Linked DNA regions of Macaca fascicularis. The protein of the gene in region 1 interacts with the protein of each later gene in a pairwise test. Links are inferred from orthologs where the notes say so. Each region holds a gene or a part of one and is shown on either strand. Other genes may lie near its edges.

Region 1 (4,957 bases):
CAAAAAAAACAATAAATATTGATGCATATAAGTATATCTTCCCCCAAAATTAATTATATCATATATAACCTGAGATTTATTTATTGCCAGTAGGAATTCTAACTAAAGATTCACTACTTCCTTCTAGTCAAACTTTTCAGTAATTCTTCATCTCTGTCTTCAATAAAGCAAGAATAATATAGGATTTCATTACATAACAAGGAATTCACGTCAGAGGCAATGGGTAATATTTATTTAGTTGTTATTGAGGGAAATTATTACCCTTTAAACAATGAGGTTGCACAATAATAGATCCTGGATGGACAATGTAAACCCCATCATTGAGAAATTATGTTGTATCAACTTAAGAGAATACATTGCATTTTTAACGAATAGTGCAAACATCTACTATTGTACTGCTTTACTTAAAGAGGAGTTCCAGTACGAAGATTGGTGGTTATTCTTAGGATTAGGTGATACAGTCAGAAGGTCTTACCTGACACTTAGTGAGATTTGGAAGCTGGTGTGGGCTTTGGGTTCGTCACAAGTTGCAGGCAGAGTCTGCACCCCTAATGCAAATGGGAACTCTTCCTTTTCTGGGAGAATATTGTATTTCAAGGATGTCTATGGCACATCAAAGACAAAATCAGTTTTTTGCCCTTTCCCAGAATTCCTCTCAACTTCCCTAACTCTTTCTCTGGTTTGCCCCATTGTTTTCTGAGTGAGGACTTCTCAGTGAGAACAGCTGCTGTCCTCATCTGTCCTCTGTCCTCACCTGCCCAAGAGTCTCACCTGGAGGTAGACACATCCTTCTCCTGTCACTTTCATGCTGTATTCCCCAGGCAGCTCTGGTAATGAGACCCGCTGCAGTAACAGGCGGTTGCTGTTGTCCACTTGGAATTTGTTGGAAAATGTCCCTGAAGACTGGATAGTCACCTGTGCAGCCTTCCCAGTTCTGGTGAACGTGGCTGCTCCATATTTGGACAAAGCATGGAGAGCCACCACTGTGTCCTGGAAGAGATAGATGAGTGAGAGAACCCATTGGGTATTTTAAAGATTTGAGGGCTGAGATATTTTTCAAAGACCCATGTGAGGGACTTTGATTTCCTACTTCCCTCACTACTTAAATATTGGAGCTGTAATTTCAAGATTGATTATAATCTTTAGATAGTTGAAGAGCCATAACATTCAAATATCTACCTTGGACTGTATGCCCTACATGTTTATTTTATTTATCAGAAAATTGATCCTTTTCTCTCTAAGTATATGTGGAACATGGAATGTGGAAAATATAAGTGAATGATAATCAGTTATTGGCATCACCTATTTGCTAACACGTCTTTCTTGACAACTGTGGTCGTATCTGACATCACCCAAGCAAAGTTCAGTCTGGCTCTCTCCCATATTAAACTTTGCTCAGTTGCTGAGGTCAGTGACCTGAAGAGAACCCAAGGTTCTTTGCAGCCATGAGTAGAGTCATGCTTCAGTTTCTCCAAAAGAAATAAAAGATGAATATTATAATTATCTTATGGATTGAATGACATTTTTATTTGGCTTTCCCTTTTTATTGGGTGATTTCCTGTTCCCAGTGAATGTCTGCTGGTAGACATCCTCATCAACACTGAACCTGGATGGCCTCCTTCAAATAATATATTTCTAAGAAATGAATGATAACCTTTAACAAAATTACTTAGTTTTTTTCATTCATATGATGAAAGATTAATACAATGGAAATAGGATGGAATGCCATTTTGTCACATTTTTTCTGTTTTAGGGTATATAAGCAAACATCTAAATTCTCCGAAGATAAAACTGCCTGCTGTGTACATATCGATGAACTGTTCAGATACATGGTTATATAGCTAGACTTAGGAGGTTGGATGAATCGAGACAGTTCTTTATGCTCCTGATAAATAAACGTTTGTGTATTATGAGGTGAATAGGGGGCTGGACGCAGTGGCTCACACCTATAATCCTCGCATTTTGTGAGGCCAAGGTGGGTGGATTGCCTGAGCTCAGGAGTTCAAGATCAGCCTGGGCAACATGGTGAAACCTCGTCTCTACTAAAAATACAAAAATTAGCCGGGCATGGTGGCACATGACTGTAATCCTAGCTACTGGGGAGGCTGAGGCATGAGAATTGCTTGAACCTGTGGGTGGAGGTTGCAGTGAGCCAAGATCGCACCACTGTATTCCAGCCTAGGTGACAGAGAAACACTCTGTCTTAAGAAAAAAAAGAAAAAAGGTTGAATAGGGGAAGCACAAAATGTGTAGTTTTGAAAAAAGCCTATTAAAGGGGACCGAAGAATGGAGAGATTTGTGAGGAGAGGTTGTTGGAGGATTTTGAGTAGAGTTCCTTTGAACAGTTTGAAAGAGACCCTATAGCTTCCAGGAGAATGGCAGGAGACATCTCCTTCATTCTGCTGATGCTCCACTGCTGCTTGAGGAAGGCAGTGTTGTTATGGGAAACAGAAGGATAATAACACAGTGATGGGTTGCCGGAATTCTGAGCATTTCCTTTTGGCCCTCTTTGACTTTCATTTGCTTTTATTTCCCATTATCCTTGGATACTGAAAACTTTCCTTCATTTCAAGTTATTGTCATCTTTATTTTTTTCTTCTTGGATGTGTTTGTTTCTTTTTTGTTCAAATCTTTTGCTGCCTGAAGGTGAAATCAAAGGTTTTGGCAAATCACCAACCTGGGTGGAGGAGAAACCGCCCTGGGAATTCTGCTGCTTCGTGATCCACTTCACGACGTTGGTTGCAGAGGTCAGGTCCTCCGAGGTTGGGGCTGGCTGGGCCGTGAGGTAAGCGAGGAGCACGTAAGATGTCATCTCCACCTCAGCAGAGGGAGCCTGGGGTTCGTAAAAATGCCCCACTGGGGCCTTAGGTTTCTGAGGGCGCTCCCAGTGGACTGAGTTGTCTTAAAGGTGAGAAAAAGATATTTATAAGTGACTACATATTTATATTTAAATATAAATATAAAAGTACCCAAGCTAGTGTTGAAATGAGAATTGCATGCCCATTATAATCCCCTGAACTGTAGGTAGATGCTTTTCCTTCTATGTAAATCCGAATTTGGTGTGTTTCAGCCCAGCTAAGGCAGATATTGATGCTGGAGTCAGAAGCCTATGCCTATCTATGTTTTCAAATAGTTGCTGTAGTTGGGTTGGTGGGAGAAAGAAATGGCACAGCAGTTGTCTCATTGGGTGTGGCTGTTACCTATTTATGATGTTATATGATGTTATATTAGACCATAGCTGGAGTTTGTTACATTTCCTATGAAGCCTGTCTTTAGCGGTTTCTTGTGAGGATCACAGATCACAGGAAATAGTAGAGTTTGTACTCATTAGATTGAAAAAAACAATACAGTAATCCTTGAAATACCAAAGGCTGACATGGATGTGAAACAATGGGAACCAACATACACTGCTGTGGGAAGCCAATTGCTCTTTGGTGATATTCAACAATGGGGAAGATATGCTTAGCCCACTAATCCATCATTATGCTTCTCAAAGTGTAATTTGGAGAAACACAGATGCACGAGAAAACAGGCACACGAGTATTCATTGCAGCATTGTTTTTAGTAAGAAAACATAAAACAATTCATGGGAGAAGCTCGATGTGTAAATTATGACTAATTTATAGACTGTAATGTATTACGCAGCAGTGAAAATTAATGAGCTGACTCTGACCTACTTGTATAGGGGTCTTCATCCACATAATGTTGAACTTAGAAAATGAAAAGCAAACAAAAAACTAAGCTGCTGAAATATTCAAAAATGTTTCTCTTGTTTCTTGAATGAGAGAGAAAAAAATCTTGTTTCTGTCATGATGAAACACATGTAAGGATTCTAAATATTAGTTAGGGACACATATGCAGAAAAATATAAAGAAATCCATGGAATCGTAATGACAAATTCAGGAGGATGATTGCCTCTGGAGGTGGTAGTGATACACAAGGGATTTATTTTTCCAATATCGGTAATTTTCTATTTCTTAATCTATGAGATAGTTATACAGTATTTTCTAGTTATAGCTTATGCCCTTTTGTGTATCTACTATAAAATATTTCTCAATACATTTCAAGAAGAATTAATGGCTATCAAAGGAAAAAGGTAGACAATTTTAATGGACATCTTATGATTTGCATTTTATTTTCTATGTTTTCAACCCCTCATATAGACCATGGTATATGTAGAAGTATTGTGTGAATATGAGTAGACTGGGCAACATTATTGGTCTTATGAAATGGGCTTAAAATACCAGAATTCACTTTGGGAGGCTGAGGAGGGCGCATCACAAGGTCAGGAGATTGAGACCATCCTGGCTAACACAGTGAAACCCCGTCTCTACTAAAAATACAAAAAAATTAGCTGAGTGTGGTGGTGGGGACCTGTAGTCTCAGCTACTTGGGAGGCTGAGGCAGGAGAATGGCGTGAACCTGGGAGGCAGAGCTTGTAGTAAGCCGAGATTGCACCACTGCACTCCAGCCTGGGCGACAGAGTGAGACTCTGTCACAAAAAAAAAAAAAAAAAAAAAAGAAAATACCAGAATTCATTCCAGTAGTTACTTCCATGATTATTTTCTTATGTTTAAGGTTATACAATGTACCAGGTAAGAATTGGGCATATATTGAGAACTGATATGTTAGTAGTAACAACTAGTACTTTTATAGGATTTGCTATGTGCCATTTACTCTACTGTTTTATGTATACCAATTCATTTAATACAACAGCTCTGTGAGGTCAATACTATTTTTATCCCCATTTTACTGAGGAAGGAACTGAAACACAAGGAAGTTAATGACTTTCCCAAGCTCGCATAGATAGCACATTTTGGAGCTAGTCTGAAGAGAATGCTCTTCTTACTAGCATACTATACAGATGGTCCCTGACTTACAATGGTCCCACTTAAGATTTTTCAGACTTTACAATGAGTTTGTCAGGATATAACCCCATCATAAGTTGAGAAGCATC
Region 2 (4,957 bases), on another chromosome or scaffold:
CATGCCGCTGCACTCCAGCCTGGGCAAGAGAGTGAGACTCTGTCTCAAAAAAAAAAAAAAAAACCTTGCTTACTTGTGTAACATATTCAATCTGTCACCTCAGGGGAGAACAAAACTGTGTTCAAGTTGGCAGATAAAGTGACTGCATTCAAAGCCAAACTGGTATTATGGGGGCCACAAGTGAACACTGGGATTTTTTGACATGTTTCAAACATTAGCAGAGATTTTAAAAGAGACTGAGCCAGGACCTTTTTTCTCCCACCTGGCACATGATCACCTATCTCAGCTTTCAAAGAGTTTGAGGTATTATTTTCCAACCACGAAAGAGCCCCAAACTGGGAAGGAATGGATTCACAACCCATTTGTGAATAAGGTGAATCGACTTTGTTCATGCTAGAAGAGGATCAGCTGCTTAAGATCACAAATGACGGTGCCCTTAAAAGTATGTTTGAGACAACTTCATTCTGGATTAAAGACAAAGTGGAATACTCTGAGATTGCCACGAAAGCACTGGAAAGCCTGCTTCTATTTCCAACCTCCTGTCTTTGTGAAACAGGGTTTTCTGTAGTGACAGCAGCCAAACAAGATTACAGCTAGTAGACTGGACATAAGCAACACACTTAGGGTGTCACTGTCTCCCATCACCCCCAGATGGGACCATCTAGTTGTAGGGAAAACAAACTCAGGGCTCCCACTGCTTCTGCATTACGGTGAGTTGTACAATTATTTCATTATATATTATGATGTGATAATAAAGTATACAATAAATGTAATACACTTGAATCATCTTGAAATCACCACCACCCCCACTCCCCATCCATGGAAAAATTGTTTTCAACAAAACTGGTCCCTGGTGCCAAAAAGGTTGGCAACTGCTGCTTTAAAGTTTTAAGTTGTTCTGATAAACTTGATATGCAAAGGAAGGCATAAAGGAGAGTCAGTACATGACCATTTTATTTAGCCATTTGCTGAACAGAAGTGCCTAGCTTTTTTCAGTGTTTTTGTTCAAAGATAGATAATTCTGTTTGTTAGAGAGTTTTTATTAGGTGACTAGGAAAAAAACTTTCAGGAGAACATCTACTTACTATAAGTAAGCTAAAACATTTAATACCCAAAGTGTTTAGTAATAAATACTTATGCTATCTCAACATCAGTCATTTTATTGTCTATTAGGTAACCACCTATGGCATAAATTCTCAAAATTCATAGTAAAATTAGTCACAATTTAGATAAATCAGCCCTGAGTATAATGGCATCTGTATTATGGGTTTTTGTGTAAATTATTAATTTGACTGAAACATAACTACAGTATCCTGGACATGCAGGGGAAGAAGACAAGAAAATTAATGAAGAACTGGAGTCTCAATATCAGCAAAGTATGGACAGTAAATTGTCAGGAAGATACCGGCGACATTGTGGACTTGGCTTCAGTGAGGTAGTAATTAACTTATTTTCATTGGGAAGATAATTAGTTTTCAATTTGGTACCACTTATTGCTGTTAGATTACCCTAGCAATCAAGAATCCCATGTAGAAAGCTCTCTGTATGTAATTATCTTAAAAATAATTGTATATGCCCTACTGGTCTCTGTAGGTAATCAGAAGAGATGTTTCCAAAGATTTTGTGTGGTGTTTTGTTTTTTGTTTTTTTTTTTTTTTTTAGATGGAGTCTCCTTCTCTCACGAGGCTGGAGTGCAGTGGTGTGATGTCTTCCACCTCCCGGGTTCAAGTGATTCTCCTGCCTCAGCCTCCTGAGTAGCTGGGATTACAGGCACCTGCCATCATGCCCAGCCAATTTTTGTATTTTTTTTATTTTTGTAGAGATGGGGTTTCACCATGTAACCAGGTTGGCCTCAAACTCCTGACCTCAGGTGATCCCACCCACCTTGGCCTCCCAAAGTGCTGGCATTACAGGCGTGAGCCACCACACCTGGCCGTTTGTTTTTGTTTTGTTTTGAGACAGAGTCTCACTCTGTTACCCCTAGGCTGGAGTGCAGTGGCACAATCTCAGCTCACTGCAACCTCCACCTCCTGGGTTCAGGCAATTCTCCTGCCTCAGCTTCCTGAGTAGATGAATTACAGGCACATGATGCCACACGCAGCTAATTTTTTGTATTTTAGTAGAGATAGGGTTTCACCATGTTGCCCAGGCTGGCCTTGAACTCCTGAGCTCAGGCAATCTGCCCACCTCAGTCTCCCAAAGTGCTAGGATTACAGGCTTGAGCCACCGTGCCCAGCCTCACCTGGCCTGTTTCTAAGGATTTTAAAGTGTGTTTTCTAAAAATGAAAATGCTGTTTAAACATCAGAGCACCTTTCCCCCTTTTTTGAGACAGGTTCTCACTCTGTCACCCAGGCTGGAGTACAGTGGCACAGTCTCACTGCCACCTTAGCCTCCCAAGGACCTGGGATATAGGCCTGCACCACCACGCCTAGCTAATTTTTGTATTTTTTGTAAAGATGGACTTTTGCTATGTTGCCCAGGCTGGTCTCAAACTCCTGGGTTCAAGCGATCTTTCCGCCTCCCAAAGTGCTGGAACTACAGGCGTGAACCACCACGCCTGGCCAGGGCACATTTTTAATAGGCATGAACGACATGCTCACAAGTTAAGTAAAATATTTCATGTAAGTTTAAAATAATGGTTTAAGAGAGCTTTTTTTTTTCAGTTGTTTCCTAAGTGATCTCTTTTTATATTACGAATTTATGTGTGACTACTGTTTACTCCAAAGTAATACAATGTGCAAAACAATTATAACTGATTTCCACATAAAGGTCAGTGGTTAACATGCCTTATCAATTTAAAAAATTGTTTCTTTCGGGAAAATATAATACCGTGGTTTTCAAACTAGGAGAGGGGAGATAGGTGTGTGGTCTTCAGAGCACCTCCCCTCTTGTTTTCTTTTGTCTTTTAAGAAACGGAGTCTTGCTCTGTCACACAGGCTGGAATGCGGTGGCATGATCATAGCTCACTACAGCCTTGAACTCCTAGGCTCAAGCAATCCTCACACCTTAGCCTCCGGAGTAGCTAGAACTACAGGCATGCACCACCATGCCTGGCTAATTTTTCTTTGTTGTTTTTTTTTTTAGTTTCTTTTTTGTTGTTGTTGTTGTTTTTAAGAGACAGGGTCTCAATATGTTGCCCAGGCTGGTCTCAAATTTGTGGCTTCAAGCAATCCCCCTGCCTCTCAGCCTCTTGAGTAGCTGGAATCTCAGTCACAGGTATGAGCCACTGGGCCTAGCCAGACAGAGCTCTTTCTTAAAATTCCACTCAAGTCTTAAAACTGTTGTTCAATGGCTACAAAGTAAGTGTTTCTAAGACTGACAGAACTTACGGTCTTTCTCAGATTCTGTATGGGCTAATGTTTATTTTTAAAAGAGCCTGTTGATTGATGTTTTAGGTAGAAGATCATGATGGAGAAGGTGATGTAGCTGGAGATGATGATGATGACGATGATGATTCACCTGATCCTGAAAGTCCAGATGATTCTGAAAGTGATTCAGAGTCAGAGAAAGAAGAATCTGCTGAAGAACTCCAAGCTCCTGAGCACCCTGATGAAGTGGAGGATCCCAAAAACAAAAAAGATGCAAAAAGCAATTATAAAATGATGTTTGTTAAATCCAGTGGTTCATAACTCCCAAACGCTTAGTCTTTGTATTAAAAGTAAGCCTTATTGTTATAATGCACAGTGGAGGACTGCTTATAGAGCACAGACCTTTGTATTATAATTTTTAAAAAGGCCCTTTTAAATAATTACAAGGAGTGTTTGCTTTCAAATGCCATGGGTTACACTTTTATGGGCATGACTATAACCAATTTTGTAAAGAGTAAGAGTTGTATAAAATAAGAAATAAATACAGTACTCAACTTACTTTCATATTAGCATCATCAGCCCTCTAATTCACCGTATGGGGGAAACGCTTTTTGTTTGTGATAGCTATTTTATCATTTCCTTCATATTTTTCTCTTATAAAAATGTATTTGATACTGTGATACGTTCATGAAAAGTATTCTTTAATTATTCTTTGTTATAGTAGAGCTGTTCATCATGGAAATTTCTGCTGCCAGTCACAATCTAAATTAATTTTGGCAAAAGATTGGGTACTTAGTTTCCTGTTACTGAGTTAGCTCTACTCTTTTGGACCAAAGCAACATGAGAGTAAGTACTTTTCACACTTGTTAAGATGGGAGTTATAACTGTCATACATTTGGAATATTATGATCCCAAGTAGTCTTTTTATAATTTGGATTATATCGTATGTTAGATTTTTGATAAGATTTGGCCAATTTTTACAGAAGAAATGATTTCTCTGATCATTTAGTTCTATCTATTTAGAAATATGTAAAACTGGATTTTTTTTTTTTTAAGTAACGTGACCAAAGTTAATTTTGTCCCAAAGGTCTAAATAAAGAGCAGTTTCCCATATTTGGCTGTGATACCTTTATCCTCATTATCTACAAATGAGGAGCAGGCTTACTGATAAGCTGAAACAAGAAATTCTCTTCATTTTATCCCAGTGCTATTTTATTGATTAATTACTAAAAAGTATTACTTTCTAATTTTATTGCTGTTTCTGTTGGTGTAAGATTAGAATCATCTGACTGCTATTAGGTGGTTGATTTGTACAGCTGATTAACACAGATTGCATTATGAGCTAGTAAATGGATCTTTGGATAATTGGGTCCAAATTCTTAATGTTTATAAGTAACAAGTTCAAAGGCTTTAGTCCCACCTGTTTGTGAGCCGAACTGTTATACATCTAGATACTTAAAGGATGTATTTGGAGTGTTGGGATTTTTTTTTTTTTTTTTTTTTTTTTTTTTTTTTTTTTTTTTTGAGACGGTGTCTCACTCTGTCACCCAGGTTGGAGTGCAGTGGCGTGATCTCAGCTAACTGCAACCTCCGCCTCCTGGGTTCAAGCGATTCTCCTGCCTCAGCCTCCCGAGTAACTAAGACTACA

Evidence for each region. The genes of interacting proteins can lie anywhere in the genome.
Region 2: the proteins of A2M (region 1) and C14H11orf58 interact in a two-hybrid assay, tested with the Homo sapiens proteins (2 studies listed by BioGRID and IntAct). The link is inferred for Macaca fascicularis from reciprocal best matches to the Homo sapiens genes A2M and C11orf58.

Annotation. Positions count from the first base shown.
Region 1 is NC_088385.1:11,866,574-11,871,530, reverse strand, and holds part of A2M (alpha-2-macroglobulin), read right to left. Parts: intron 2,902-4,957; coding exon 2,678-2,901; intron 991-2,677; coding exon 772-990; intron 604-771; coding exon 476-603; intron 1-475. UniProt on the Homo sapiens protein: Is able to inhibit all four classes of proteinases by a unique 'trapping' mechanism. This protein has a peptide stretch, called the 'bait region' which contains specific cleavage sites for different proteinases.
Region 2 is NC_088388.1:49,009,169-49,014,125, reverse strand, and holds the end of C14H11orf58 (small acidic protein), read left to right. Parts: intron 1-1,325; coding exon 1,326-1,435; intron 1,436-3,396; coding exon 3,397-3,630; 3' UTR 3,631-4,422; downstream 4,423-4,957.